Linked DNA regions of Saccharomyces cerevisiae S288C. The gene in region 1 interacts genetically with each later gene. Each region holds a gene or a part of one and is shown in the gene's direction. Other genes may lie near its edges.

Region 1 (7,791 bases):
TTAATAGCTTCACACTACTCCCACAAGGATTCCTAATTCACGTGCAACAGCAACCGGATCTTTTTGAAAATGCTTTCGAATTGGTTGGGACCCAGTTTCGTAGAATCCTCTTTCATCAATCTAATCAGAGAAACGAACCCAACGAGTGTTAATAGATTGATAGCTGTGGACCATTTTTTCCTGCTAGTCATTTTTCTAACACCGAAATAACGGCAGAGCCCCGAACCTATATGATATACACCTGACTCGAGGAGAATAGCTAACGGCACCAGGCCTCCAAGCCATTTCCACCACCTGTTCTTGCTAGATAGTAATTGCTTTATAGAGGCGAAATCCACCTCAGTAGAGATGGAATTCGGCACCCATTTCATAATTAATAAGTGGTATATCAGGACGGGAACAAGGATGTATCCACTAATCACTTGTGGAGGAATGCGGAAGGTCTTATACAATCCAAATAAATAGCCAGAAATTCCACCAGTTAAACCAATCGAATCTTGGGATAGATCTTGTTCGGCCGATATCTTTAAATGTCGATGTCTATTTCTTCTTGGCTTGTTCCAGTTGTTCACGATTCGGAGCAAGACACCAGCAGAAACATGAAGAGTAATACCCGCAACTAACAGCTTGGTAGTTATGGACGGTAAAATCTCTCTCACCATCATTAAAACGTCGTCAGGAGCAGAATCAGGTGATACTGCCGGCGTGATTAATGTATTTGCTGCATGTAGTGGGAAATACAATGCCATGGGCAGTACCGAAATCTTTTGACAGTTCCAAAGGAATCTCCGACATGAACTCCTGGAAAAAGGATACGGAATGCCAAATATTTTTTTCCTCTTATCAGGATTACCATCTCCTTCGGGGCTATGTGCATTAACATCATGAGGGAGACTAGCAGGGTCTACTGGTTCTGGAGGCACTTCATGCAACTTTATCATCGTAATAAACAAAACTCTGGGCTAACTGGTATATGCCCTAGTAATTCGGGACCTGTTAGGAGCAATACAATCTACACAAGGTTTTCCTTACTTATTTTCCAATTGACGACCAACTTGCCTCACACAATTACAGAGCACGTATTCGCTCTCTAGCCACTCTTTTCAAAACAAATTTTAGTTGTGGACCTGGTTAGGATACAATCAGCGATGTCGGAAGACTGATGTAGTAGAATTGACTGGAACGCTTCTTCTATAGTCTACACGGAAGCTATACTCCCTTGAATAGATGGTAGATGTTCCGCATAAGGTTTGTCCTTTTGGTTTTTTAGCCCCGTTCGGGGTTCGAACTGCTAAGTCATATTCCGCACATATGCGTCCGCAGACTCTCATTGGATCATTCTTACCCATTCGGGTCATAATGCAAGCCTTTACCATTTATGGCACTTTGATTTCCCTTTCCATCTCACATCTTCAATTCTATTGTTTTTGAAAAAAAAAAAAAATAAAAAAAAAAAAGATTAAAGGCAATTAGTTAGCTGACGTATGGAACATCTCTGCTGTACAGCTACATTTACTTATAAGACAAGGAGCAATTAGTAGCGACGGGAGCAAGAACTAAAAAGGATAGAGGATGGCGAAAAGCAAATCCAGTCAGGGTGCGAGTGGAGCACGCCGTAAACCGGCACCTTCTTTATACCAACACATTTCTAGCTTTAAACCACAATTCAGCACAAGAGTCGACGATGTTTTACATTTTAGCAAGACACTGACATGGAGAAGTGAGATTATTCCAGACAAATCCAAGGGCACCTTGACGACTAGTCTTTTATATTCTCAAGGTAGTGATATTTACGAAATAGACACTACTTTACCATTAAAGACATTCTATGACGACGACGACGACGACGACAACGACGACGACGACGAAGAAGGTAACGGCAAGACGAAGTCTGCAGCCACCCCAAATCCAGAGTATGGTGATGCTTTCCAAGATGTTGAGGGGAAACCATTGCGCCCAAAGTGGATTTACCAGGGCGAAACAGTGGCAAAAATGCAATACTTGGAAAGCTCAGACGACAGTACGGCGATCGCGATGTCCAAGAACGGCTCTTTGGCATGGTTCAGAGATGAGATCAAGGTTCCCGTTCATATCGTACAGGAAATGATGGGCCCTGCTACTAGATACTCTAGTATTCACTCTCTAACCAGACCAGGTTCATTAGCAGTGTCAGATTTTGATGTGTCGACAAATATGGATACGGTAGTAAAGTCACAAAGTAACGGCTACGAGGAGGACAGCATCTTGAAAATCATCGACAACTCCGATAGACCGGGAGATATATTACGTACAGTGCACGTTCCAGGGACCAACGTGGCTCACTCAGTTAGATTTTTTAACAACCATTTATTTGCATCTTGTTCAGATGACAACATTTTAAGATTCTGGGACACAAGAACAGCGGACAAACCGCTTTGGACGCTAAGCGAACCGAAAAATGGACGACTAACGTCCTTCGATTCCTCTCAAGTTACTGAAAACCTATTTGTCACTGGGTTCAGCACGGGTGTCATCAAGCTATGGGATGCGCGTGCTGTGCAACTGGCTACTACTGACCTCACACATAGGCAGAACGGCGAGGAACCGATCCAAAACGAAATAGCCAAGTTGTTCCATTCTGGCGGCGATTCCGTTGTCGATATCCTGTTCTCACAAACCTCTGCAACAGAATTTGTTACGGTTGGAGGAACGGGTAATGTCTACCACTGGGACATGGAGTACTCTTTTTCAAGAAACGACGATGACAACGAAGACGAAGTTCGAGTGGCTGCTCCGGAGGAACTTCAGGGTCAATGTTTAAAATTTTTCCACACAGGTGGCACAAGAAGATCGAGCAACCAATTCGGGAAGAGGAACACTGTGGCGCTACACCCCGTAATCAATGATTTTGTTGGCACTGTTGATTCAGATAGTCTTGTTACTGCCTACAAACCATTTCTGGCCAGTGACTTCATTGGCAGAGGTTACGACGATTAAAAAAAAAAAAGAGTAAGAAATTAACGTTACCACCTATGGGAAAGGCAGTAACTCACAAGCATTCACGTACATAATTCTGTTTTTTTTTTTTTTATTCATTTCTAGCACGCTATCGGGGTTATTTTTTTTTTTGTAATATATAGTGATGGTATAATGTTGTATAGATACTGGTATCGCTCCTAATAAAGACTCTTTCAGATTTCTGAAGCCAACGAAGTAAGGCCTCAAGAAAAGAGGGTTACCAGTAATTAACCAAGCAATTTCTTTTTTTTCTTTCCAGCAAAGAAATAAGACAAAAACCGGCTATATGGAGAAGAGGGAGGATCTAATGGTGACATAGTCCATTTCAAGATTCCCTCTTTCGTTTCTCGGATGAAGCTCGATGTTTACAATTCAGAATCTTAAAAGGCTGTCGCTAAGAAAGACCCAGAGGCACATGCAAGATAGTTGTGCCTGTACCACGTGAGAAGGCGGTATTCAATATGCGGTGCTGTGCTGGCTTCCCTTTTTGGAACGCGCCGGGGTATAACAAAGAAAGGCTAAGTCATACAATAGGCAAAAGACCTTTGTCTTTCCTTTTTTTCCTCTTTCCTAACATACGGTGGTTTATGTACTATCCCTTATGTAATTGCTTAGCTATACACAGTGAGCACACATAGTGGCGCTCACTACTCCCTTTTAATTTCAACTCGTAGATAGTTGGGCTATTTTCCTTCGAATCCTCGTTTATCATCTCATATTTAAGAGTACCATTTCGGGGCTTTTTTTTACCTTTTCCTTTTCCATGCAGTCTGTCCCCTTAATGTTCTATGTTTTTTTTTTTTTTTTTTCAGTTCTGTAGCTTCCAGTATAAAGGGAGGGAAAAAAGAAGATCCGAAAAGTTTATATTCGCCTGAATTGTAGATATTAGATAAGAAAATTAATTATTAATCAACCAATCTTGAAAGATACAAATAAATTGTAACACACTATACATTACAACCAAAAATGCCAAAAAAGGTTTGGAAATCATCTACGCCTTCCACTTATGAACATATCTCCAGCTTAAGACCAAAATTTGTGTCTCGTGTGGACAATGTTCTGCACCAAAGGAAGTCCTTGACGTTCAGCAACGTTGTTGTTCCAGATAAAAAAAATAACACTCTAACCTCAAGTGTTATATACTCTCAAGGTAGTGATATCTACGAAATTGACTTCGCTGTACCACTACAAGAAGCCGCTTCAGAACCGGTGAAAGACTATGGTGACGCCTTTGAAGGTATTGAAAACACCTCGTTGAGCCCAAAATTCGTGTACCAGGGTGAAACTGTCTCCAAAATGGCCTACTTAGATAAGACTGGAGAAACTACATTATTGTCGATGTCTAAGAACGGGTCGTTGGCTTGGTTCAAAGAGGGTATAAAGGTCCCTATTCACATTGTACAGGAATTGATGGGTCCAGCAACCAGCTATGCCAGCATCCATTCTTTAACCAGACCTGGTGATCTACCTGAAAAGGATTTCTCATTAGCCATCTCTGACTTCGGCATTTCCAATGATACCGAAACCATTGTGAAGTCTCAGAGTAATGGTGATGAAGAAGACAGTATTTTGAAAATCATTGACAATGCCGGTAAGCCTGGTGAGATTCTACGTACTGTTCATGTGCCTGGTACCACTGTGACTCACACCGTAAGATTTTTCGACAATCATATCTTTGCGTCTTGTTCAGATGACAATATTCTGAGGTTCTGGGACACTAGAACTTCCGACAAGCCTATATGGGTGTTGGGAGAACCAAAGAACGGAAAATTGACCTCGTTTGATTGCTCTCAGGTTTCCAACAACTTGTTTGTTACCGGTTTCAGTACGGGTATTATCAAGTTATGGGATGCCAGAGCGGCTGAAGCTGCCACCACTGATTTGACTTATAGACAAAACGGTGAAGATCCAATTCAGAATGAAATCGCTAACTTCTATCATGCCGGCGGTGATTCTGTTGTCGACGTCCAATTTTCTGCCACTTCAAGCTCTGAATTCTTTACTGTGGGCGGCACTGGTAATATTTACCACTGGAACACTGACTATTCCTTGTCAAAGTACAATCCTGACGATACCATTGCTCCTCCTCAAGATGCCACTGAAGAATCACAAACAAAATCTCTGAGATTCTTGCACAAGGGTGGAAGCAGAAGATCTCCAAAACAGATTGGAAGAAGAAACACCGCCGCTTGGCATCCAGTTATTGAAAACTTGGTTGGTACTGTCGATGACGATAGTTTAGTCAGCATCTACAAGCCCTATACCGAGGAAAGCGAATAGTCGCCATGCTAAACGCGCGGAACAAGGCCATATTTATATATTTAATGCTTTTAACTATTATTAGTTTTTCTCACCCAGGGCTGGTTTCTTTACCCTGTGTGATGAAAGTGCGCGCCTAAAGTTATGTATGAGCTACTGTTAGTATATTTATTATTCAATATTTAATTAAACAATACTTACTACTGATGAAAGATACCGTACACCTGCTGGCGAATAAGTCACTATACACGAGCAATTATATTTCTCAGGTCATTGCGACAATTGAAAAATCGGATCGACTGATTATCATTAAGGCGTGTGACGGCTCAGAATAAGGAAGTTCTATTTTAAAGGGCAGCAAAAATTTGGCACAATTTAAAAAGAAAGTTGGTCTCTGGTAGGGTTGGATCCGGTTTTTCATAACTTGCGTTTCATTTATGGTTGCGTATTTCTCGCAGTGTACATAGACCAAATTAACTCTATCCTTCCATTGCACAATTTGCCCAGTATGGCTTCACTGTTCAGACCCCCAGAATCTGCGAAATGCAACCCAAACTCTCCTAGACTTAAACTGCCCCTCTTACGAAATAATCAGGTAGATGAAAATAATATATACTTGACGTCGAATGGGAGTTCCACCACAGCTTACAGTAGCCACACCCCAGAACCACTGACCTCTTCCACATCGACACTTTTCTCCCAAACTCGACTTCATCCTAGCGACTCTTCAATGACTTTAAATACAATGAAGAAGAGGCCTGCACCGCCATCTTTACCTTCGCTCAGCATAAATTCACAGTCTAAGTGCAAAACACTACCCGAACTCGTACCCATCGCCGATGTGTCTGATGGTAAACATGATTTAGGATTGAAACAGCGTGTGATAGCCGAAAATGAGTTGTCTGGTAATAGTGACTTAACCCCTTCATCGATGGCAAGCCCCTTTTCACATACAAACACCTCTTCTCCCTACCTCAGAAATGATCTGAGCAATTCAGTGGGATCTGACTTTTCAAATTTGATATCGGCATATGAACAAAGTTCAAGTCCCATCAAGTCATCGTCCCAGCCTAAATCATCTTCTGAATCGTACATAGACTTAAACAGTGTACGAGATGTTGATCAATTGGATGAAAATGGTTGGAAATATGCAAATTTAAAAGATAGGATCGAGACATTAGGCATTCTAGGAGAAGGAGCCGGTGGCTCTGTTTCCAAGTGTAAATTGAAAAATGGATCAAAAATATTCGCTTTAAAAGTGATAAACACATTAAATACAGATCCCGAGTATCAGAAGCAAATATTCAGAGAATTACAGTTTAATAGGAGTTTCCAATCCGAATATATCGTACGATATTATGGAATGTTTACGGATGACGAAAACTCTTCAATTTATATTGCTATGGAGTACATGGGTGGGCGATCGTTGGATGCTATTTATAAAAATTTGTTAGAGCGTGGTGGTAGGATCAGTGAAAAAGTCCTGGGGAAGATTGCAGAAGCGGTACTAAGAGGACTATCATATTTGCATGAAAAAAAAGTTATTCATAGAGATATTAAGCCCCAGAATATTTTACTGAATGAAAATGGTCAGGTGAAACTTTGTGATTTTGGGGTCAGTGGAGAAGCCGTTAACTCGCTAGCCACAACATTCACGGGGACGTCATTCTATATGGCTCCAGAAAGGATTCAAGGTCAACCATACAGTGTCACATCTGATGTATGGTCACTTGGATTAACGATTTTGGAAGTGGCGAACGGGAAATTTCCATGCTCTTCCGAGAAGATGGCAGCCAATATAGCTCCCTTTGAATTGTTAATGTGGATTTTAACATTTACTCCTGAATTAAAGGATGAACCCGAATCTAATATCATATGGAGTCCATCATTCAAATCCTTTATCGACTACTGTCTGAAAAAAGATAGTCGTGAACGGCCATCTCCAAGACAAATGATCAATCATCCTTGGATAAAGGGTCAAATGAAAAAAAATGTCAATATGGAAAAATTCGTGAGGAAGTGCTGGAAAGATTAATCAATAAGCAATTTTTTGCGAACATGATTAAGTTTATTTTACTTTATTTCGCATTTTCCATAAAAAAATTTTCCTCCATACAAGATTCATACCCAGGATAGCCTAACTAAAATGTATGGCTTTATACAGCTTGACGACAAACTTAATTTGAATATATAGATATATTAATTTAATCAGCAGGATTAGCATTTAATGTCTTACATGTCTTTGTATTTGGCATACGTATTCAGTGATATTTTAATACCTCGCAACGCAATTTCCAGCGAGTTTACGTTTGAAGCAAACGTAACTCCCATGAGTTATACATAACGCCTGCTGCAGCTGAACCAGAACAATATACCGTGGTATTACCGTAAGCATTTGAAAACAATAATAAGTTTCCAAGTGCCGCTTTAGATCCAAAGTACAAGGACATATTGTGGAAGAGTAAGTTGAATATTTGAAAATGAGAGCTTTTTCAGCAGCCACCGTTAGGGCCACAACTAGGAAGTCGTTCATCC
Region 2 (7,970 bases), 670 kb from region 1:
AGCATTTTACAAAAGTGATAAGTGCAATGAGGAACCAGTCTTATCTGTGCCTTTGACTAGTATAACAAATGTTAGCAGAATACAATTGAAACAAAATTGTTTTGAGATTCTTCGGGCAACAGATCAAAAAGAGAACATATCCCCCATAAACTCCTACTTTTATGAATCAAATTCCAAAAGATCGATATTCATTTCCACAAGAACCGAACGGGATTTGCATGGCTGGCTTGATGCCATTTTTGCCAAATGTCCTCTCCTTAGTGGTGTTTCATCACCAACAAATTTTACACACAAAGTACACGTTGGGTTCGACCCAAAAGTGGGAAACTTTGTTGGAGTACCTGATAGTTGGGCTAAACTACTACAAACCTCAGAAATTACGTACGACGATTGGAACAGAAACTCAAAAGCTGTTATTAAAGCACTGCAATTTTATGAAGATTACAATGGACTGGACACAATGCAATTCAATGATCACCTCAACACAAGCTTAGACTTGAAACCTTTAAAAAGTCCGACAAGGTATATTATAAACAAGAGGACTAATTCCATCAAGAGATCAGTAAGTAGGACGCTCCGAAAAGGCAAAACAGATTCCATTTTACCCGTCTATCAATCAGAACTTAAACCATTCCCAAGGCCTAGTGATGATGATTATAAGTTTACCAACATAGAGGACAATAAAGTACGCGAAGAAGGCAGGGTGCATGTTAGTAAAGAAAGCACGGCAGATTCCCAGACAAAGCAGTTAGGAAAGAAGGAACAGAAAGTCATTCAAAGCCATCTGCGAAGGCATGATAATAATTCAACATTTAGACCTCATCGACTAGCACCATCTGCACCTGCTACAAAAAATCATGATAGTAAAACTAAATGGCATAAGGAGGATCTCCTTGAACTTAAGAATAATGATGATTCGAATGAAATAATAATGAAGATGAAAACTGTTGCAATTGATGTAAACCCAAGACCGTATTTCCAACTGGTAGAAAAGGCTGGTCAAGGAGCAAGTGGTGCAGTATACCTGTCAAAGCGAATAAAATTACCTCAAGAAAATGACCCGAGATTCTTGAAATCACATTGCCACCGAGTCGTAGGCGAAAGAGTGGCCATTAAGCAGATACGTTTATCTGAACAACCAAAGAAACAATTGATTATGAATGAACTCCTAGTGATGAATGATTCGCGCCAAGAAAATATCGTTAATTTCCTTGAAGCCTATATTATTGATGACGAAGAGTTATGGGTGATAATGGAGTACATGGAAGGTGGCTGCTTAACAGATATATTGGATGCTGTAGCAAGGAGCAATACCGGTGAGCACTCATCGCCGTTAAACGAAAACCAAATGGCATATATAGTAAAAGAGACGTGCCAAGGTTTGAAGTTTTTGCATAACAAGAAAATTATCCATCGAGATATCAAATCTGATAATATCCTTCTGAATTCCCAAGGGTTAGTGAAAATTACAGACTTCGGTTTTTGTGTGGAATTAACAGAAAAAAGAAGCAAGCGTGCCACAATGGTAGGTACTCCATATTGGATGGCACCTGAAATAGTGAATCAAAAGGGATATGATGAAAAAGTCGACGTTTGGTCTCTAGGGATAATGCTTATTGAGATGATAGAAGGTGAACCGCCTTACCTAAATGAGGATCCTTTGAAGGCGCTGTATCTGATAGCTAACAACGGTTCACCAAAATTGCGTCATCCAGAGTCAGTGTCCAAGCAAACCAAACAATTCTTAGATGCCTGTTTGCAAGTGAATGTCGAATCAAGAGCATCCGTGAGAAAACTACTAACGTTTGAATTTTTGTCAATGGCATGCAGCCCTGAGCAGCTCAAAGTATCCTTAAAGTGGCATTGAAATTTAGCTTTTTTTTATTTAGGAGAAACAATATATATATATATGTATATACGTATGTATGATTCATATTTTAATCGCATTTTTATTTCATCTAAAACAATTACTCTTTTTGATTATTTATAGAAAAAAAACAACAATGATACGTTTGCTTCGCGTTATGTCAATAGAAAATGTAAAAGGAAAAAGAATGTGTTGCTATTCGTTAGGCGGATTTACGGATGGAAGACATATCTATGAACTGAGCTTACAAACGCTTTTAGCGGGGACAGTTAATCATTTTACGGATGATTTTATAAGAATAAACTATTTTTGAAAAGTTAGGATAGTATTTTGTACATTTGGCACCGAAGTAATTCAAAATCGAGGAAGACTCGCACACTTTTACAATCACAGAAGGCAAAACCCGGCATGACAGGATGATAATGTCATCAACTATGTCGACAGAAGCCGCCTTGGTACCGAACGAAAGTGTTTTTGACACAGTTTCGTCATTCAACGAAGACGATGCCAATTATAGCGTTCTTGATTTATACGATGACGACGATGAAGGGGATGATAGTTCTACAGTAGAACGAAAAGAAATATTGACAACACGTGAGCTTGAAAAAGCAAAGGCGTTTACCAGCTTAATCATGGCAGATCCTGAGAATTTTGATAGATATGGATTTAGCAAGAAAGGATATTTCATTAGTCAGGAAGAATACGACAAATGGTGGACAGAATATAATAGATACACCGAAAGAAGAAAAAAAAAGTGGGAGAACTTTCTTCTTAAGAATAAGATTGAGCTCCACAATGATAATCCTCTAGTATATCCTGCAAGGACAGATGAATTGTCAAAATTTGTTAGAAAAGGTATACCAGCAGAATGGAGAGGGAATGCCTGGTGGTATTTTGCTGGTGGACAACGACAATTAGACGCAAATGTTGGCGTTTATGATAGACTGAAAAGTGACTGTCGCGAGGGTGCCGTATCTGGTAAAGATATGGAAGCTATAGAACGGGATCTTTATCGAACGTTTCCCGATAATATACATTTCCATAAGGAGTCCTTCCAAAATGGAGAGCCGGCGATCATCCGATCATTGCGTCGAGTATTAATGGCCTTTTCTGTTTATGACAAGACTATTGGATACTGCCAATCGATGAATTTTCTCGTTGGATTGCTATTATTGTTCATGGAAGAAGAGAAAGCATTTTGGATGCTGGTTATTATTACCGGTAAGTATTTACCTGGCGTGTATGAATCAGACTTAGAGGGTGCGAACGTGGATCAAGGGGTGTTGGTGTTATGTATCAAGGAATATTTACCCGAGATATGGTCACACATTGAGTCATCGTATATGAATGGCAATGGCAGCACTGACCAGATATCAGGGCCAGCATCGGGGGAAGAATATCTCTGCAGGCTGCCTACGCTGACGCTGTGTACGGCAAGTTGGTTTATGAGCTGTTTTGTGGGCGTGGTGCCCATCGAAACGACCCTGAGAATATGGGACTGTTTATTCTATGAAGAGTCTCATTTTTTATTTAAAGTGGCTTTGGGGATACTGAAATTGAGCGAAAGCGAGTTTTTGGAGAGTAAAAGCCAGAAACTGTTTAGACAGTACTCTTCGTACACCTTCGGTGGTAGTAATGACTCTGATTCAACTTTCAAAAGATTAAAGAACAAGATTAAGACGCAGGAAGAGGCAGATATGGAGATTTTGCAAGTGATTCAAAATTTCCCAAAAAGATTGCTCAATCCGAATGATATCTTTGAGAAAGTCCTGATGAAGAAGAAGGTTGCGTTGAATGGTATTACCCAGGAAAAGATTGATCGCGGTAGAGAGTATGTGGCGATGGCGAGAAATAGACAAAGGGCGAGTAGCCGCCCAAAGGAAAGAAGAAAATAGTAAGCGCAACCGTGATAAAAAGCGCAACTGTGTAAAATAACAAGTATGTACGTACTAACTATACTAATCTTATTTGGCCAGAGACCAGCCTTTTTGTAGACGCTCCATGACTTGCCTAACCGCAGCCTGATCGTTCTCGAAATTGTTCTTCAGAAGAGCCTCGATATCATCCCAGGGCACAGTGAGTTCCTGTGGAGGAGCAGGAGCAGGGGAGTTAGTGGATTTCTCGGCTTCGGGTTCCTTAGATATAGTCGGATTCGGCTTAATCATGACTGTGATTGTGGAATTGGCAGGCGTGACCTTCAAATCCGATAAGAACAGGTTATCGTGGAGGACTTTGCCCTTCAAAAGCAGTTTTATCTCGCTTATGTGGGAGGCCTTTTCCTCGCTGATCAAGTGCTGTTTTATTTGTAAGATAGTATCTGATGGGCTGAAATCATGCTCGATGGAGAACTTGGGAGCTTGAATTTTCTTTAAGGTTAAGTGGACGGCGGCGTTGTCTTGACCTTGCTGATCTTGGTGCAGTTTTAACTTCTTGGCACGATTCTGCTTATATTTATACTTCAAAGTAGGCAACGGGACACCCAAATTGGTAACATCCTTCAGAGGTTTAGTATAGCTTTTTGGTAGCTTCGGTTCAGTTAAAGTGGCTAAGGTCAAGAATTTACTAACGAACTCGTGTTCTGGACCGCTGGCGGATGTGCTCATGATTAATTTTGTATAAAGTTATTATTCTTCGCTAGTTTATCTCTGTATCGGTCTGTTCTAACCCTTTTCTCCAACTATGTTCTCCTGTGCATGTTTTCTTCTTTTCGTTTTTCCTTTGTTTTTTTTGGTCGTAGTTGTCGCAAGCTCGGCCTCCGGCCTGATTTTAAAACTATTCCTAATTCAAGATTCGGTAAAAAAGATATATAATAGCTAAGGGGAGGAGAGGAATAAGAGGAAAAAGTTACATTAGAGGACAATACTCAATCTAACCCTTACTAGATGTGCGATAGCCATCAAAAGGAAGAAGATAACGCAAATACGAGCGAAAGGGCGTTATTTTTTAATTACCATGAGTTTTCGTATTCATTCTACGAAGACCTCGGTTCCGAAGACGCTAAACCCACAGAGCACGACGAAGACCACAAATTGTGTATTACACATTTCCCGAATGTGTATGCTGCTCGGGGCTCTGCCGAGTTCCAGGTGACCCGGGTGGTACGAGTGCCCCGGCGGTTCGATGAGTCTCGCAGCAGCCTTGAAACGCCACAATTTAGTACACAGCTTCCCGGTAGCGAGCCGGCGGCAATCGTGGGCGACGATGGCACTAGCTTTGTGCGGTGCGGGCGTTACGACATTGGGGATCACGTGTTTGGCTGCTCCTCCGTCTCGCCTCTGTCAGAATATCTTAGTGCGGCAGAGCTCGCGGAGGTTGTGCACCGGGTAAACGGATTCTTGCTGCGTGAAGAAGGTGAGGTGTTCGGGTGGCGTAACTTAAGTGGCCTGTTGCTCGATATGCTTACGGGCGGTCTGTGGAGCTGGGTTTTGGGGCCCCTTCTTTCTAGACCTGTGTTTCAGGAGTCTCTCGCGTTAGAGCAGTACGTGGCGCAGCTAAACTCGCCGGGAGGTCTGCTTCACGAGCGCGGTGTGCGCCTAGTATTGCCCCGACGGTCCGGGTGCCTATCCCTAGATTTCGTCGTGCCCCGACCCAAATAGTTAAACGTGTGGTTTATGGGTGCACCAGGGCTTTATCGTGTTTTATATCGATGGCGATTTGTGCCTCCAGTGTATTTTTGTATATCCAATTAAGGTTTCTTACCTAATTTTATTTTTATCATCTTTAGTTAATGCTGGTTTGCTCTGTTTCTGCTGCTTTCTGTGCGGTTCTCCTCTTCTCTTGTTTCTTCGTGTTGTCCCCCATCGCCGATGGGCTTATATGGCGTATATATATAGAGCGAGTTTTTACGTCGAAGATCATCTCAGTTTGCTTGATAGCCTTTCTACTTTATTACTTTCGTTTTTAACCTCATTATACTTTAGTTTTCTTTGATCGGTTTTTTTCTCTGTATACTTAAAAGTTCAAATCAAAGAAACATACAAAACTACGTTTATATCAATTAATAATGTCTGAAATTCAAAACAAAGCTGAAACTGCCGCCCAAGATGTCCAACAAAAGTTGGAAGAAACCAAAGAATCTTTGCAAAACAAGGGCCAAGAAGTAAAGGAACAAGCTGAAGCTTCTATCGACAACCTAAAAAATGAAGCTACTCCAGAAGCTGAACAGGTGAAGAAGGAAGAACAAAACATTGCTGATGGTGTCGAACAAAAGAAGACCGAAGCTGCCAACAAAGTTGAAGAAACTAAGAAGCAAGCTTCCGCCGCCGTCAGTGAGAAGAAGGAAACCAAGAAGGAAGGCGGTTTCTTGAAGAAATTGAACCGTAAAATTGCTTCCATTTTCAACTAATCACACTTGAATGTGCTGCACTTTACTAGAAGTTTCTTTTTCTTTTTTTAAAAATAAAAAAAGAGGAGAAAAATGCTGTTTATTCTGACCTTTTACATAAATTTTTCTTAATTGTATCTATCTAATAACTAATCAATATAATAATAATAATACTAATAATAATAATAATAATAATAATAATAGTAGTAGTAGTAGTAGTAGTAATAATGATGATGATGATGATGATGGATGATCAAAAGCCACAAAAAAGAATGCTCCGAGAATAACCTCGGCGGTTATTTCACGTCCCGGAGGAAAAAAAGTTTGATAAGAAAGTAAAAATATGAGCGGTACGAGAATCGAACCCGTGTCCCCACCTTGGAAGGGTGGGATGATAACCACTACACTAACCGCCCGGGTTAATTGTTATTAGTTGGTGAAACTGATCTCAATCACTATAACATTATGGTCTCTTAATAGCAAAGGCCAACCAACTGACTTCTTGCAAACTGATGTTCAATTTTAGCTCTAAAATAAAACAATGTAAAAGAAAGATAAAATGACATAAAGCACTATCGCTTCAACGGCAAACAATATTGAAAAAGTATCACATTATAGTAAGTTGAACACTAAAAGATTAAATAAATACTTCGGCACACTTTCGATGAAGGAAAGCATTAGTAGTAACGTATATATATCATTGTTGTTGCTACTTTTCTTTGTGGGATATGCACCACTCCCCTCTGCAAAGTGAAGAAAAGGTATGGGAAGAATTTCTTCGCTTATATTACTTACTTTACCCTACTCCTTGAATCACTGACCACTCTGTCCATCACCCAGCTCCCAAATTAACTCCTTCGGTACTAAATCCCGAATGTTTCCATTTTGTTCTTGTACGGGATCGCTGCTGCTGCTGCTGCCGGTTTTTGCCTCATGCTTAGCTATGATTTGTTTTCTCAGCTTTTCATTCCTTTCATACAACCAACTTAAGTAACTCAAGCTTTTCAGGTATATGATTAGTTCTGACCGACTTTCCTGGGGTTGCAGGTCAGGTACTACTGCTACCAGTTCGTCAAATATAGCTCTTTCCAATTCTCTCCTTTTTTTTTCAGACGAAACATGATTTATACGTATTTGACCATCAGTCAATTTATTAATCTTCTTAGACCTGCGTTTCCTTTTCTTCACATTAGCCAGTTCACCCTTTATCTCCTTAATCTCGGACAATCCCGGCTGTATTGTTTGTATCTCCTTAATATCGTTCGTCATTATTGCTTTTCTCTTTTTAGTTCAAGCCGCCCTCTTAACTCCTTCGTCAAGCTTATCTTGTTGGCATTGGAATTTCGCAAACGCAATCGCGCCTCTGTCTTTAAGGTGAGAAAAACATGTGAATATTTTGTTTGATACGTAACAAGCTCATACAAACCAAGCCAAGAAAAAGAAGACGACTAATCTATTTATAACAAAGATATTTGTTCACTATAATGCAATATAGTTCGAGGTTCCTAGAATTGAATATCCCGGATTCATTTTTAAATATCAATAAGATTCCTGATGCTACTAAATTTATTACAGTCACTTATATATGCTTAACTGCAACCCTTTTCTGTATAAGGAGATCCTTGTACAACAAGCTAGTTCTTGAAGACCCTAACTTGGACTACAACTTGATTACTTCGCCGCTTTTGCAAATGGTACCTTCGCAGATTTGGAGGTACCCCACCTCATTAGTTCTATCCAACTTCATCGACACTAAAGCTTGGAAGGTGGTAGTGAACT
Region 3 (6,878 bases), on another chromosome or scaffold:
AATATTTATACGCGGATCATGATTGCTTAGCTCCTTCTTTAACTCAGTACTTGTGGTTAGAATTTTGTAGATACCTGCACACATTTTGGTAGCAGCTGTGTCGGTGTTTCATGAGGATCGGAAAGATATGTACGGAAAGATCACATGTATATATTTAACAAAGAATGCATAATTCGCCTTGTTGATGGTTACGACCAGATCAGATAAAGTAGTTCAAAGATCACAACAGAATTTTATCTTTCCAATTACCATTCAGAAAAATTTTTTATCTCTTGGAGGGTTATTTTCGGGCCTTTCAAGAATATGATAAAGATATATCTTGGCAGATGTACTGATGATTACTGGTGCGTTAGAACCGTATGGCCTTGAAAAGAATAAAAGCAAACATCGATTTTTTTGGTACTGAATTACACAATTTTTAAGGACTAAAAAAAAAAATGTTTAACCTGAACAACCATGTATCTTAGATGTCAGGGTATCTAGATTATTTCTCTACCATTCAGGACATCATCCAAAAACATCGATGGCGCCTGTCTTTTATGAGCCTTTTTAGGAGAGCTAGTATTTGAGGTAGCAGAAGCGACTGGTATGAGGCCCAAGGAGGATTGGTTTCTCTTATGGTAGCCTTCCATTGAGTTAATTTTCTTTTCCTTTCTTTCAGGTGACGCTGCTCTTTGTGGTCTATTGAGGTTCAGCTTTCTCTCTTCTTCTTCTTCTTCTTCTTCTTCTAGATAGGTACCTACGTATAAAAATGGATCGTCAATAAAAATGTTAGTGTCTTTTGATTGATGGCGGCTATGACTTTTTTCATATTGTGACACTTGTAAAGTAGGAGATATAAATAAGGATCTTCTGTTGTCTGTGAACGGATCCTGAATTGGGTTGAATGGTGAGGCAGCATCCTCGTATTGGCTAGATTCTAATTGGCTCATAGAATCCCAATCATCCTGCATATATGATTTCTCATCATTGATGTCAAAGGGATTGCTTTGTAAAGAAGAACTATGCTTGTGGTGTCCCCTGTACAAATTTTTACTATCATTTGCATAAGAATTTGTCATTGTGAAACGACGAGACAAATAACTGGACACTAACCACCATATAAGAATACTGATAAAAATGGCACCTATGACAGCACCCACAGCAATGTATACAGTTCCATTTGGTTTATCAGCAGCATTTAAAATAAATGGGTTTCCTGCTGTAGATGGGGGTGTTATACTTGCGACAATTAGTGATGAGGAGGATGTTGCTCCACTGGAAGTTGAGAAAGCCGAAGATGTTAACGATGGAAGGGACTTGGAACTCGTTTCGGACACTACACTTGACGTGGGCTTTGACAGGGCGGTTGAACTAGTTGTAGTAGTAACTAAAGTAGGAAGGTCTCTTCTGACCAGCGATACAGACGGGATAAAGTTTTTCTTAACCATCTCTGCCGATGTTTCTTTCTGAACTTTTGACAAGGTATGAGTCTAGTTGATTATAATACAAGAGTGTGGGTATGTTATTAATAAACATTATAAATTATTAACCCATATAGCTGCTAAATATAATTGAAAATCTAGTAATTTCTAATTATACATTTTTTTTTTTTACAAATGTTTTATGATATGTTTACTATTTCCCGCTTTAGGAAATCATATTAAGGGTTTCATGAAAGAATTCTGCAGAGTGATCATTGGAAATCGGCAGAAAGTGAGAAGGGAGGCTGTCACCAGGTTCCCCTATACTATTCATGTGAGTGGTAGCATGCAAAGTAAAGACCCTTTTTCATTTAGTGATTCATCCATGAATAGCTCTTGGTGCTAGCCCAGATTTTTCAGTAATTTTTGTTTTTTCTTCTGAATTTTCCAGAATTAAAAAAAAGATCAGAAAAAAGCGAGAGTTTACTTAAGATATTAAAGTCTAGTTGATATATCAACAAGTGAAGGCAAAATACCAATAGAGTGCACGTTTCTTGATGCTATGAAATACATACCCCCATTAAATTTTTCGCCAGTGGTGAGCACGGATGTATCGTTATATCGATCGGGATACCCGATGCCGTTAAATTATAGTTTCATCAAGCATCAGTTACACTTGAAGACCATAATATATATTGGCGATAAAGATAGGCCTCTCGAAGAATATCAAAGCTTCCTGGAGTCAGAAAAGATAAAATACTATCACATATTTATGGATTCAAGCCGCGATGAAGGAATTCAAGAAAGAATGAACCAGGTCTTGCACTTGGTGCTGGATGTCAGAAACTATCCCATCTTAGTGCATTCCAATAAGGGCAAGCACCGTGTTGGTGTAGTTGTGGGAATCATAAGAAAGTTGTTACAGGGATGGTCCACTGCAGGTATATGCCAAGAGTACGGGTTATTTTCTGGTGGGATGAAAGATGGAGTAGATTTGGAGTTTATCACAATGTTCGAAACCAATCTGAAAATACCGAGAAACGTTATCCCTGGCTTTGCTAAACACTGCTTGTATTTGAATGAGCTAGAGGCTGCGGAAGGAAGTGATGATGAGTCAGGAAGTGAGTCTATTCTCACTGCCAAGCAACCAATATGATTATGAGAACCAGCCGTTACAAAGAATATTTTCTGTCATTAATATATTTGTATAAATAAAACAACAAGTCTAAAGATCAAGTAGAAAAATGGAAACAAGAACGAGCACATATATGGTATATAGTGAACATATATATATTAGATATATACGTTCAAGCGTCGAAGGACAAAGACCAACCTAGCTTGTGAACAGGTTCAGACAACTTCAAAGCATCGAAAGAGGAACCGACACCCAGAGTGACGCCAGGTCTTAACAATTGCTTGTAAGCCAAAGTGACAATACCGGAATCGGACACCTTAGCCTTAACTTGGGAAGATGCATCAGGCAAATATCTAGTGGCGAATTCGATGTTGACATTGGAGTTAGGTAGTTTGCAGTTCATTGTAGCCTTAGCACCGACCTGTAAAAAGGCGTTGACGTTTTGGAAGAAGTCAACGGTAGTTATTTGCTCGTTGTTCAATGTAGCGCCCAAGGAGTAGTCTTTGGCGAAATAACTTAAAGCCATGGCATAACGAGAAATGGAACCGGCGCTGATATCGTAACCAAACTCTGCGCCACCAACAATACCTTCGTGGGCCATAGTTAAGTCACCAACAAATGTTGGTGACTTCAAACACAAGTCAAAGGCACCTCTTGCGGTGAAGAAAGGTTGTGTGAACGTAGTGTTTAAGACGGCGGACTTGGCGACGCCTGGAGTCAAAGAAGTGATCAATTCGTTCTTTAGACCAGGGGTCAAGTTGGCAAACTCTAATTTGGTTTGCAAGTTGTTTGTGTTAGACCAGCCTTGAGTTAGACCCAAGCCGGTTTGCTTGTCATTCAACTTTGCTTCCACGTTAGTAGACAGTGGACCGTCTTTGACAGGCTGTTTAGCCTTCAATGAGAACTTAATGCCATTGGCGGTTGTTGTTTGCACATCAAAGGCAGCTGGGGTAGCATGATAGAAATCCTTGTTCAATAGGTCATTGATATTTCTGGAGATATCGCTGTAAACTGGAGGAGACATTGTTGAGAGGTTGGTTTGATTTTTGCTTTGGGTACGCTTGGCTGTTTCGTGTTGGGAGAATCCGTAGCACTAATGAGTAGTGGAACGAGTTGGGGGTAGTTATATAGTAGATCAACTCGTGCTCTGCTGGCTATAAAAGGGGTTCTTTGTTGAGGAACGGCCGAAATGGCGGTGTTTGATTGGGCCGCAGCCGGCAAAAAGCACCGGAACCGTGAAAAAAGCTCGTCTGACGCGGAAACGTGCGGCAAAAAATCTCCGCGACGGGGAATTGAACCCCGATCTGGCACGCGACAAGCGCCCATTCTGACCATTAAACTTGTTGGAATAAAAATCAACTATCATCTACTAACTAGTATTTACGTTACTAGTATATTATCATATACGGTGTTAGAAGATGACGCAAATGATGAGAAATAGTCATCTAAATTAGTGGAAGCTGAAACGCAAGGATTGATAATGTAATAGGATCAATGAATATTAACATATAAAACGATGATAATAATATTTATAGAATTGTGTAGAATTACAGATTTCCTTTTATGGATTCCTAAATCCTCGAGGAGAACTTCTAGTATATTCTGTATACCTAATATTATAGCCTTTATCAACAATGGAATCCCAACAATTATCTCAACATTCACCCATTTCTCATGGTAGCGCCTGTGCTTCGGTTACTTCTAAGGAAGTCCACACAAATCAAGATCCGTTAGACGTTTCAGCTTCCAAAATTCAAGAATATGATAAGGCTTCCACTAAGGCTAACTCTCAACAGACAACAACACCTGCTTCATCAGCTGTTCCAGAGAACCCCCATCATGCCTCTCCTCAAACTGCTCAGTCACATTCACCACAGAATGGGCCGTACCCACAGCAGTGCATGATGACCCAAAACCAAGCCAATCCATCTGATTGGTCATTTTACGGACGCCCATCTATGATTCCGTATACACCTTATCAAATGTCGCCTATGTACTTTCCACCTGGGCCACATTCACAGTTTCCGCAGTATCCATCATCAGTTGGAACGCCTCTGAGCACTCCATCACCTGAGTCAGGTAATACATTTACTGATTCATCCTCAGCGGACTCTGATATGACATCCACTAAAAAATATGTCAGACCACCACCAATGTTAACCTCACCTAATGACTTTCTAAATTGGGTTAAAACATACATCAAATTTTTACAAAACTCGAATCTCGGTGGTATTATTCCGACAGTAAACGGAAAACCCGTACGTCAGATCACTGATGATGAACTCACCTTCTTGTATAACACTTTTCAAATATTTGCTCCATCTCAATTCCTACCTACCTGGGTCAAAGACATCCTATCCGTTGATTATACGGATATCATGAAAATTCTTTCCAAAAGTATTGAAAAAATGCAATCTGATACCCAAGAGGCAAACGACATTGTGACCCTGGCAAATTTGCAATATAATGGCAGTACACCTGCAGATGCATTTGAAACAAAAGTCACAAACATTATCGACAGACTGAACAATAATGGCATTCATATCAATAACAAGGTCGCATGCCAATTAATTATGAGAGGTCTATCTGGCGAATATAAATTTTTACGCTACACACGTCATCGACATCTAAATATGACAGTCGCTGAACTGTTCTTAGATATCCATGCTATTTATGAAGAACAACAGGGATCGAGAAACAGCAAACCTAATTACAGGAGAAATCCGAGTGATGAGAAGAATGATTCTCGCAGCTATACAAATACAACCAAACCCAAAGTTATAGCTCGGAATCCTCAAAAAACAAATAATTCGAAATCGAAAACAGCCAGGGCTCACAATGTATCCACATCTAATAACTCTCCCAGCACGGACAACGATTCCATCAGTAAATCAACTACTGAACCGATTCAATTGAACAATAAGCACGACCTTCATCTTAGGCCAGAAACTTACTGAATCTACAGTAAATCATACTAATCATTCTGATGATGAACTCCCTGGACACCTCCTTCTCGATTCAGGAGCATCACGAACCCTTATAAGATCTGCTCATCACATACACTCAGCATCATCTAATCCTGACATAAACGTAGTTGATGCTCAAAAAAGAAATATACCAATTAACGCTATTGGTGACCTACAATTTCACTTCCAGGACAACACCAAAACATCAATAAAGGTATTGCACACTCCTAACATAGCCTATGACTTACTCAGTTTGAATGAATTGGCTGCAGTAGATATCACAGCATGCTTTACCAAAAACGTCTTAGAACGATCTGACGGCACTGTACTTGCACCTATCGTAAAATATGGAGACTTTTACTGGGTATCTAAAAAGTACTTGCTTCCATCAAATATCTCCGTACCCACCATCAATAATGTCCATACAAGTGAAAGTACACGCAAATATCCTTATCCTTTCATTCATCGAATGCTTGCGCATGCCAATGCACAGACAATTCGATACTCACTTAAAAATAACACCATCACGTATTTTAACGAATCAGATGTCGACTGGTCTAGTGCTATTGACTATCAATGTCCTGATTGTTTAATCGGCAAAAGCACCAAACACAGACATATCAAAGGTTCACGACTAAAATACCAAAATTCATACGAACCCTTTCAATACCTACATACTGACATATTTGGTCCAGTTCACAACCTACCAAAGAGTGCACCATCCTATTTCATCTCATTTACTGATGAGACAACAAAATTCCGTTGGGTTTATCCATTACACGACCGTCGCGAGGACTCTATCCTCGATGTTTTTACTACGATACTAGCTTTTATTAAGAACCAGTTTCAGGCCAGTGTCTTGGTTATACAAATGGACCGTGGTTCTGAGTATACTAACAGAACTCTCCATAAATTCCTTGAAAAAAATGGTATAACTCCATGCTATACAACCACAGCGGATTCCCGAGCACATGGAGTCGCTGAACGGCTCAACCGTACCTTATTAGATGACTGCCGTACTCAACTGCAATGTAGTGGTTTACCGAACCATTTATGGTTCTCTGCAATCGAATTTTCTACTATTGTGAGAAATTCACTAGCTTCACCTAAAAGCAAAAAATCTGCAAGACAACATGCTGGCTTGGCAGGACTTGATATCAGTACTTTGTTACCTTTCGGTCAACCTGTTATCGTCAATGATCACAACCCTAACTCCAAAATACATCCTCGTGGCATCCCAGGCTACGCTCTACATCCGTCTCGAAACTCTTATGGATATATCATCTATCTTCCATCCTTAAAGAAGACAGTAGATACAACTAACTATGTTATTCTTCAGGGCAAGGAATCCAGATTAGATCAATTCAATTACGA
Region 4 (7,791 bases), on another chromosome or scaffold:
CAATATTCGCTGGAATATTCGCATTTCTAGAATTTATCCAGAACTGTATCATACTGGCAAGGTGAAGAATTTTCAGGAGTATTTAAATCTAATCTTCAAACCACTTTTCAATGCCGAAAATTATCTACACAAGTCATTAGGACCTATTCTTTTGAAATTTCTTTCTCAAGTATCTTCGATTGATCTATGTATTCAAGATACGGACAACTATATTTGGAAAAACTTCACAGCAGTTAGTTGCTTGCCAAAAGATTGGACATCTGGCGGTGATAATCCAACCATTTCACAATATATGTATTACGTCTACGTCAACCTAACAAAATTGAACCATATCCGCCAAGCCCTTCATCAAAATACCTTCACTTTGAGAAGTTCATGTTCTCCCACCTCAATGAATCGAACTTCACAGTTTAGTAATACACTGAACTTCACAGAACATACGGAAGCTATTTTAAACAATTTCTTGCTCGCCTGTGGAGGGTTTCTAAATGCAGAAAATCTCTGGAATGCACCACCATCACTGGTGTATCTTTTCTATCTAAGTCAAATTCCCATGGTTGTGGCGCCTTTGAATTCCATAGTAGATTCAAAGCCTACAATGCTGCAAGAACAAGCCCCGACGGGGCTTGTCCTAGAGCCCTCAAAGCCTTATAAGAAGAACCCTTTCATGAAGTTTTTTGAAATGGGGTTCAAGATATCGCTGAGCTCAGAATCTATCCTCTACAACAATTCGTATACGAAAGAACCCATTATAGAAGAGTATAGTGTAGCGGCTAGTATATACCGTTTACATTCAGCAGATTTATGCGAACTTCTAAGAAACAGTGTCATAACCAGTGGATTTTCAAGTACCCTAAAGAACAAATGGCTCGGCGTTTCCTTAGCCAGCCATGACTACTTCGTGGAAAACACTGGGTTTGTAGACAAGTGGTATGATTGTAAACCAAATACAAGTTTAGAGCATAACGTTCCGATCATCAGACGTCAATATCGCAGTAGCACTCTCGCAGGGGAGTGGCGACTCATAATTGCGTGAATTCGCTCATGTTTCTTCGAGGGGCGCATATTGTGACGCTAATATTATGTACCGCCCTTCCCCACACACACAAAAAAAAAAGGTTAAGGATAAAGATAAGTAAACTAATGGAATATATAAACAAATAAGTAAGTAGATACTGTAAATAGAACACACGTTTTTTAATTTATTTTTTTTTTTACATATCTTAATTTAATATAAATCAAAAAGCCCAAGCCTCAAACAAGAGTCTTATCACTCCATTTATAACATAACAATTCGAAATCTCTAAGCTCGCTTATAGTTGACAATGACCATATTTTCTAGGTTCTCATATTTTGATAGTCTATTCTCCTTTAAAAAGCAAGAGCCTTCCCCCATTGAAATAATCTATTGCAATGAAAACAATGGTTTCATAAACATAAAATCCTTAGAAAGCCCCACTGACGATAGCATGGAGGCGGACATTTCAGATAGAGAAATGGCTACAATCCTGACTAGAAACAGAAACAATTTGGGTAAGGTTGCCATTGATAAGAAAGGCGTTAATAATCATTGCATAGATTTGAATGAGCTGAAAAAGGGCCTTGTCGCCAATGAACACAAATTGGATAACGATAACTCAACACGGCACCAGAACACATATTCACCAGAGGATTCCGTGGAATTTGATAGGTTCGATGATAAACAAAGCAGAATACTAAAGTGTAGCACTAGAAGGAGCTACTTGAGATACAAGAAATAAGACAATTGAGCTGCTTCATTATATATCTTGATATAATCACCTTTCTTATCGTCAGAAAGAGTGTTCTCTATGTTTTTGTGCTTCCATAAATATATAGTTCAAAAAGTAATATCATATACTATTAATAATAAAAGTTATACTGAATATATTGATTAGTTCTATTAATTACTATTGACACACTTTGAATTCCCTTAAATTAACCCTCAGGAAGAAGGGGTCCTTAGGAAAATTTTTCTTTTTTCAATATAAAAGCGAGGAACAATGGATGGGAACAAAACCATGTTCAGCCTTTCAACAATTGGTAGAAGAAGCCAAAAAAAAAAAAAAAACAGAAACGCCAACCATGCACTTTTCTTTGAAGCAATTGGCTGTCGCTGCGTTTTACGCTACCAATTTAGGCTCTGCCTATGTCATTCCTCAATTCTTCCAGGAAGCCTTTCAACAAGAAGAGCCAATTGAGAATTATCTTCCGCAATTAAACGACGATGATAGCTCTGCCGTTGCTGCCAACATTCCGAAGCCACATATTCCTTACTTCATGAAACCACATGTAGAAAGTGAAAAATTGCAAGATAAAATCAAAGTTGACGATTTGAATGCTACTGCTTGGGACCTCTACCGTTTAGCTAACTATTCTACTCCTGACTACGGTCACCCTACCCGTGTGATCGGGTCCAAGGGTCATAACAAGACTATGGAATACATATTGAATGTTTTCGATGACATGCAGGACTACTATGATGTTTCTTTGCAAGAGTTCGAAGCTTTATCCGGTAAGATCATCTCTTTCAACCTCTCTGACGCCGAAACCGGTAAAAGCTTTGCTAACACTACAGCTTTCGCACTTTCTCCACCTGTGGACGGGTTCGTAGGTAAGCTAGTCGAAATTCCTAACTTGGGATGTGAAGAGAAGGATTACGCCTCTGTAGTCCCACCAAGACACAACGAAAAGCAAATTGCCCTTATCGAAAGAGGTAAGTGTCCTTTTGGCGATAAGAGTAATTTGGCCGGTAAGTTCGGTTTCACCGCTGTGGTCATTTACGACAACGAACCTAAATCTAAAGAAGGACTACACGGTACATTAGGCGAACCTACCAAGCACACTGTCGCCACCGTCGGTGTTCCATATAAAGTTGGTAAAAAATTGATTGCCAATATTGCATTGAACATCGATTATTCATTATATTTTGCCATGGACTCTTATGTAGAATTTATCAAGACCCAGAACATCATTGCCGACACAAAACACGGTGATCCTGATAATATTGTTGCCCTTGGTGCTCATTCAGACTCTGTTGAGGAGGGCCCAGGTATCAACGACGATGGTTCCGGTACTATTTCCCTATTGAACGTCGCTAAGCAATTGACCCATTTCAAGATCAATAACAAGGTCCGTTTTGCATGGTGGGCTGCTGAAGAAGAAGGTTTGCTAGGCTCTAACTTCTACGCTTATAACTTGACCAAAGAAGAAAACTCCAAGATCAGAGTATTTATGGACTATGACATGATGGCTTCTCCAAACTATGAATACGAAATTTATGATGCGAACAACAAGGAGAACCCTAAGGGGTCTGAAGAGTTGAAAAACCTGTACGTAGACTACTACAAGGCTCATCACTTGAACTACACTTTGGTCCCATTTGACGGTAGATCCGATTATGTCGGGTTTATCAACAACGGAATTCCAGCCGGTGGTATTGCCACTGGTGCCGAAAAGAATAACGTCAACAACGGAAAGGTCTTAGACAGATGCTACCATCAATTATGTGATGATGTCTCTAACTTATCCTGGGACGCATTCATTACCAACACCAAGTTGATTGCTCACTCTGTGGCCACCTATGCTGACTCTTTCGAGGGTTTCCCAAAAAGAGAAACCCAAAAGCACAAAGAGGTGGACATATTGAATGCTCAACAACCACAATTTAAGTACAGGGCCGACTTCTTGATTATTTAAGTGTACTGTTCACATCAAGTATTTCTGTATAATTATCTAAAAGAAAATAAAAACCCTCTTTTTTTTAACTGCACGTGCATCAAGGGGATCACAGCCTCCTTATCAAAGTGAAAAAAAGGTAGAAAAAAAAACTGAAATTGTGATATAAAAGTTTAAACAGGAAATTATTGTAAATTGAACAATATGTGTGAAGCCCGTTTTTGGTTTGTTATTCCCAACTAACCATACCCTCATAGATTACTCTGCATTTCTACTATATGGTTGAAACATTTAGTTTTGCTCATTTGGCTTATTTGGTCTTTGAGTCCGTTTTACAGGTAGTCATTATCGCACTCGCTGGTTTTTGGAGCGCTAGTTCTGGTCTGCTGCCCAAACAAAGTCAAAAAATCATTTCTCTGTTGAACGTGGACCTTTTTACACCATGTCTTATTTTTAGTAAGTTGGCCAAATCCCTGTCCATGGCCAAAATCTTTGAAATAGCCATCATTCCTATTTTTTTTGGTTTGACTACTGGTATTTCATTTATTTCCGGAAAGATAATGAGCCGTATCCTAGACTTGGATAAAGATGAAACTAATTTTGTGGTGGCAAACTCTGTCTTTGGTAACAGTAACTCTCTACCTGTGTCCTTGACATTATCTTTGGCTTACACTCTGCCCAACTTAACTTGGGACCAAATTCCTAATGATAACAGAGATAACGTTGCATCAAGGGGTATTTTATACTTGCTGATCTTTCAACAAATCGGACAAATGCTGAGGTGGAGCTGGGGTTACAATAAGCTAATGAAGTGGTCTGGAGAGAACACTCAGCATATGCCACCTTCTCAAGTGCAATCTTTGTTGGAAAGGACGCCCAACATTGATAACGAGGAACTTGTCAATGAGGAACAAGAGGAACAAGAATTGCTTGAAGAAGAAAATAACAGAATGAACTCATCTTTTTTGAGTTCGAGTTCCATCGGTGATAAGATTTGGCAAAAATCATGCACTGTATTTGAGAGAATCAGAGCGAACCTTAATCCTCCGTTATATTCCATGATTTTTGCTGTTGTTGTGGCAGCAATTGGTCCGTTGCAGAGAGAGCTATTTATGGAAGATGGGTTTATCAATAACACATTTGCCGAGGCTGTTACGCAGCTGGGTTCAGTTTCTATCCCACTGATCCTGGTTGTCCTCGGTTCTAACTTATATCCTTCTGCGGAAGTCTTCCCTAAGACGGTTCACCATAGCAAGTTATTGATCGGCTCCATCATCGGAAGAATGATTTTACCTTCTTGCTTCCTTTTGCCTATTATTGCTATTGCTGTTAAGTACATAAACGTGAGTATTTTGGACGATCCAATTTTCCTTGTTGTCGGTTTTCTTTTGACTGTTTCCCCTCCTGCCATTCAATTAACTCAAATCACTCAACTGAATGAATTTTTCGAGGCAGAAATGGCCGATATTCTATTTTGGGGGTACGCTGTCTTAAGTTTGCCTGTAAGTATTATTGTTGTCTCAGGTGCAATTTACGTTTTACAGTGGGCTAACCCAACTTAATACAACTTTTCATTCCTTTGTATAGAGTCTTCATGAATGAAAGTCTTATTCATTTTTTTTTTTTTTTAGCATAGTTTTATATTCCTTTTTTATTCCAAGACTTATATTCTCATTATATTCTATTTAGTTTCGCATGGAATTTCAAGTACACATATAACTACAGCCTTACTTGAAAATTGCCTGTCTGGGTCTTATACTTTGCACCCTTGTACAGCTTTGTATTTTTGCCAATTGTTAATCCAGATACAATATCGATGGCTTCTACATAGATTCCACTGGCCGATTGTCCTATGTAAGAATATTCTAAGGAGACTGTTTGTAAATCAACTTTTTTTGTAAAATTTGGCCCAGTATTTTCATACTCAATACAGCCACGTAGTACAGGTACCGTTCCAGTGGCAGTTGATTTATCAAAAATCCATTGTCCTTGACCCATGATAATGCTATTTTCAAAACGGCCATGAGTATTGCGCAATATTTTTATCTTATATGCTATTTCATTTGGATCAGCATTCTCAACATTGAACTGTAAATCTATTTTTAGGTCATCAACTTGTGAAACTTTTTTGAAATTTTCAATATTTAAGGATAACTCAAATTCATCAGAATCTTTACCCAATCCATTTTGGAAGTGTAAAGACATCAAGCCAATAGAATTCATCCTTACTCCGGATTGCTTTACTTGAGAACTTAAATCGACGGAATACTCCAGCAATCTGAACTTCCCATCTGGTGGTATAAACGTTATATTAGAGGGAGAAAACACACCATCATTGATTTCAACACAGTCATGCAAACTGGGTATACCTATATCATTTCCCATAGTGTTTAATTTTACTGCAACTAGAGGATTATCATTCAAATAAGATCTCACGTCCACTATTCCATGGATACTTCCAGTGAGCAACCTTAGATGTGATTTTTTCTTTTCAAATACAACATGGAATGTTTCTAACAAATCCACATAAAGCTCATTATTCTCATGTTTGCTAGCCCTTGAAGTTCTCCAGGGAACAATCTCTTCATTTTCGATTAGTGAATTACTACCACGAGAAATCTGATTTTGTTGTAGCTGCTGTTGCCTTTGTTGTGGGAGTTGCACAGCCTGCTGTAAATTATGGGCTGTAGAACTTATGAACTTCGATAAATCCGATCTTTCAGGAACAGCTTCTTTAATTTTATTAACATAGAGCATATCACTCACATTTGGTTCACCCGCTTCGACGCAACAGTTAAAAATCAAACTGATTCTATCATAATTATTAACAATTTTCTTGATACTTAATTTATCCTTGTCAAAATATTCTAACAGGATACGATCTATAGTCTCTAAAAAGGTAAAACAATCAAGCGGGCCTTTTGACTTCGAAGTGGAGGCTAAGCACCAATAATTGAGCTTATTTATAACTGAGAAATACTTATAGACCTCTAAATCTCTTCCAACCATTGAATGGTCTAAATAATCATCACTACTGCTATCTTCGAGCAATTGAGGACATGTGGACTGAACGCGGGTCCACAGGTGCTTGAAGGAGGGAGCTGTTGCACCTAAAAGATACTGGAAAATAAGTTTGTTCTTTGTATCAGTGATATAGAATGACAAATACATCTATTTTGGTTGGGTTGGTAAGGTTTACAGCCTCTGTTGTTGCCCAAGTCCTGTTATCGCCAACTTTAAATAAATCTCTTCTTGTTCTTTGACCAAAAATTTCATTTTTCGTCGCATTTAAAAGAAACTGAAATTTCAAACATAAACACCAAAACAAAGCATCATCAAGGGAACATATAGTAAAGAACTACACAAAAGCAACAATGAATAATCAGCCGCAGGGTACCAACAGCGTTCCAAATAGTATTGGAAATATATTTAGCAACATTGGAACTCCATCTTTTAACATGGCGCAAATTCCGCAACAGCTGTATCAGAGCCTCACACCACAACAATTGCAGATGATTCAGCAACGACACCAACAGTTACTGAGGAGTCGTCTACAACAACAACAACAACAACAACAACAAACTTCACCGCCACCGCAAACGCATCAATCTCCACCCCCTCCTCCGCAACAATCTCAACCCATTGCTAATCAATCAGCGACTTCTACCCCTCCTCCTCCTCCAGCACCACACAACTTACATCCCCAAATTGGTCAAGTGCCCTTAGCTCCAGCGCCTATTAATTTGCCTCCACAAATTGCTCAGTTACCTTTGGCTACACAGCAACAAGTTTTGAACAAGTTGAGGCAGCAGGCCATAGCAAAAAATAATCCACAGGTTGTGAATGCAATTACTGTTGCACAACAACAAGTGCAACGCCAAATTGAGCAGCAAAAGGGACAGCAAACGGCACAAACTCAGCTAGAACAGCAGAGGCAATTGCTGGTTCAGCAGCAACAGCAGCAGCAACTTAGAAACCAAATACAGCGACAACAGCAACAACAGTTTAGGCATCATGTGCAAATACAACAGCAGCAACAAAAGCAACAACAACAGCAGCAGCAGCATCAGCAACAACAACAACAACAACAGCAAC

Evidence for each region.
Region 2: mutations in MKK1 (region 1) and MSB4 together harm fitness more than expected from each alone (negative genetic interaction), as found in Saccharomyces cerevisiae (3 studies listed by BioGRID).
Region 3: mutations in MKK1 (region 1) and OCA2 together harm fitness more than expected from each alone (negative genetic interaction), as found in Saccharomyces cerevisiae (2 studies listed by BioGRID).
Region 4: mutations in MKK1 (region 1) and YBR287W together harm fitness more than expected from each alone (negative genetic interaction), as found in Saccharomyces cerevisiae (3 studies listed by BioGRID).

The regions. Positions count from the first base shown.
Region 1 is NC_001147.6:766,837-774,627, forward strand, and holds MKK1 (mitogen-activated protein kinase kinase MKK1), read left to right. Parts: upstream 1-5,764; coding exon 5,765-7,291; downstream 7,292-7,791. Other genes in the region: MCP1 (Mcp1p), read right to left, coding at 33-941; WTM2 (transcriptional modulator), read left to right, coding at 1,573-2,976; WTM1 (transcriptional modulator), read left to right, coding at 3,964-5,277; mitochondrial nucleotide exchange factor MGE1, read left to right, coding at 7,737-7,791. UniProt on the Saccharomyces cerevisiae protein: Involved in a signal transduction pathway that play a role in yeast cell morphogenesis and cell growth.
Region 2 is NC_001147.6:104,427-112,396, forward strand, and holds MSB4 (Rab GTPase-activating protein MSB4), read left to right. Parts: upstream 1-2,283; coding exon 2,284-3,762; downstream 3,763-7,970. Other genes in the region: putative serine/threonine protein kinase SKM1, read left to right, coding at 1-1,867; MDY2 (Mdy2p), read right to left, coding at 3,832-4,470; SHR5 (Shr5p), read left to right, coding at 4,750-5,463; ZEO1 (Zeo1p), read left to right, coding at 5,871-6,212; INO4 (Ino4p), read right to left, coding at 7,005-7,460; YOL107W (uncharacterized protein), read left to right, coding at 7,676-7,970. UniProt on the Saccharomyces cerevisiae protein: Regulates exocytosis by functioning as a GAP for SEC4. Also required for efficient polarization of the actin patches.
Region 3 is NC_001146.8:515,284-522,161, forward strand, and holds OCA2 (Oca2p), read left to right. Parts: upstream 1-1,965; coding exon 1,966-2,559; downstream 2,560-6,878. Other genes in the region: YNL058C (uncharacterized protein), read right to left, coding at 480-1,430; porin POR1, read right to left, coding at 2,711-3,562; YNL054W-A (gag protein), read left to right, coding at 4,173-5,495. UniProt on the Saccharomyces cerevisiae protein: Required for normal growth in the presence of linoleic acid hydroperoxide (LoaOOH).
Region 4 is NC_001134.8:772,597-780,387, forward strand, and holds YBR287W (uncharacterized protein), read left to right. Parts: upstream 1-3,974; coding exon 3,975-5,258; downstream 5,259-7,791. Other genes in the region: YBR284W (metallo-dependent hydrolase superfamily protein), read left to right, coding at 1-1,036; HAB1 (Hab1p), read left to right, coding at 1,326-1,760; APE3 (aminopeptidase Y), read left to right, coding at 2,104-3,717; APM3 (Apm3p), read right to left, coding at 5,416-6,867; SNF5 (Snf5p), read left to right, coding at 7,071-7,791.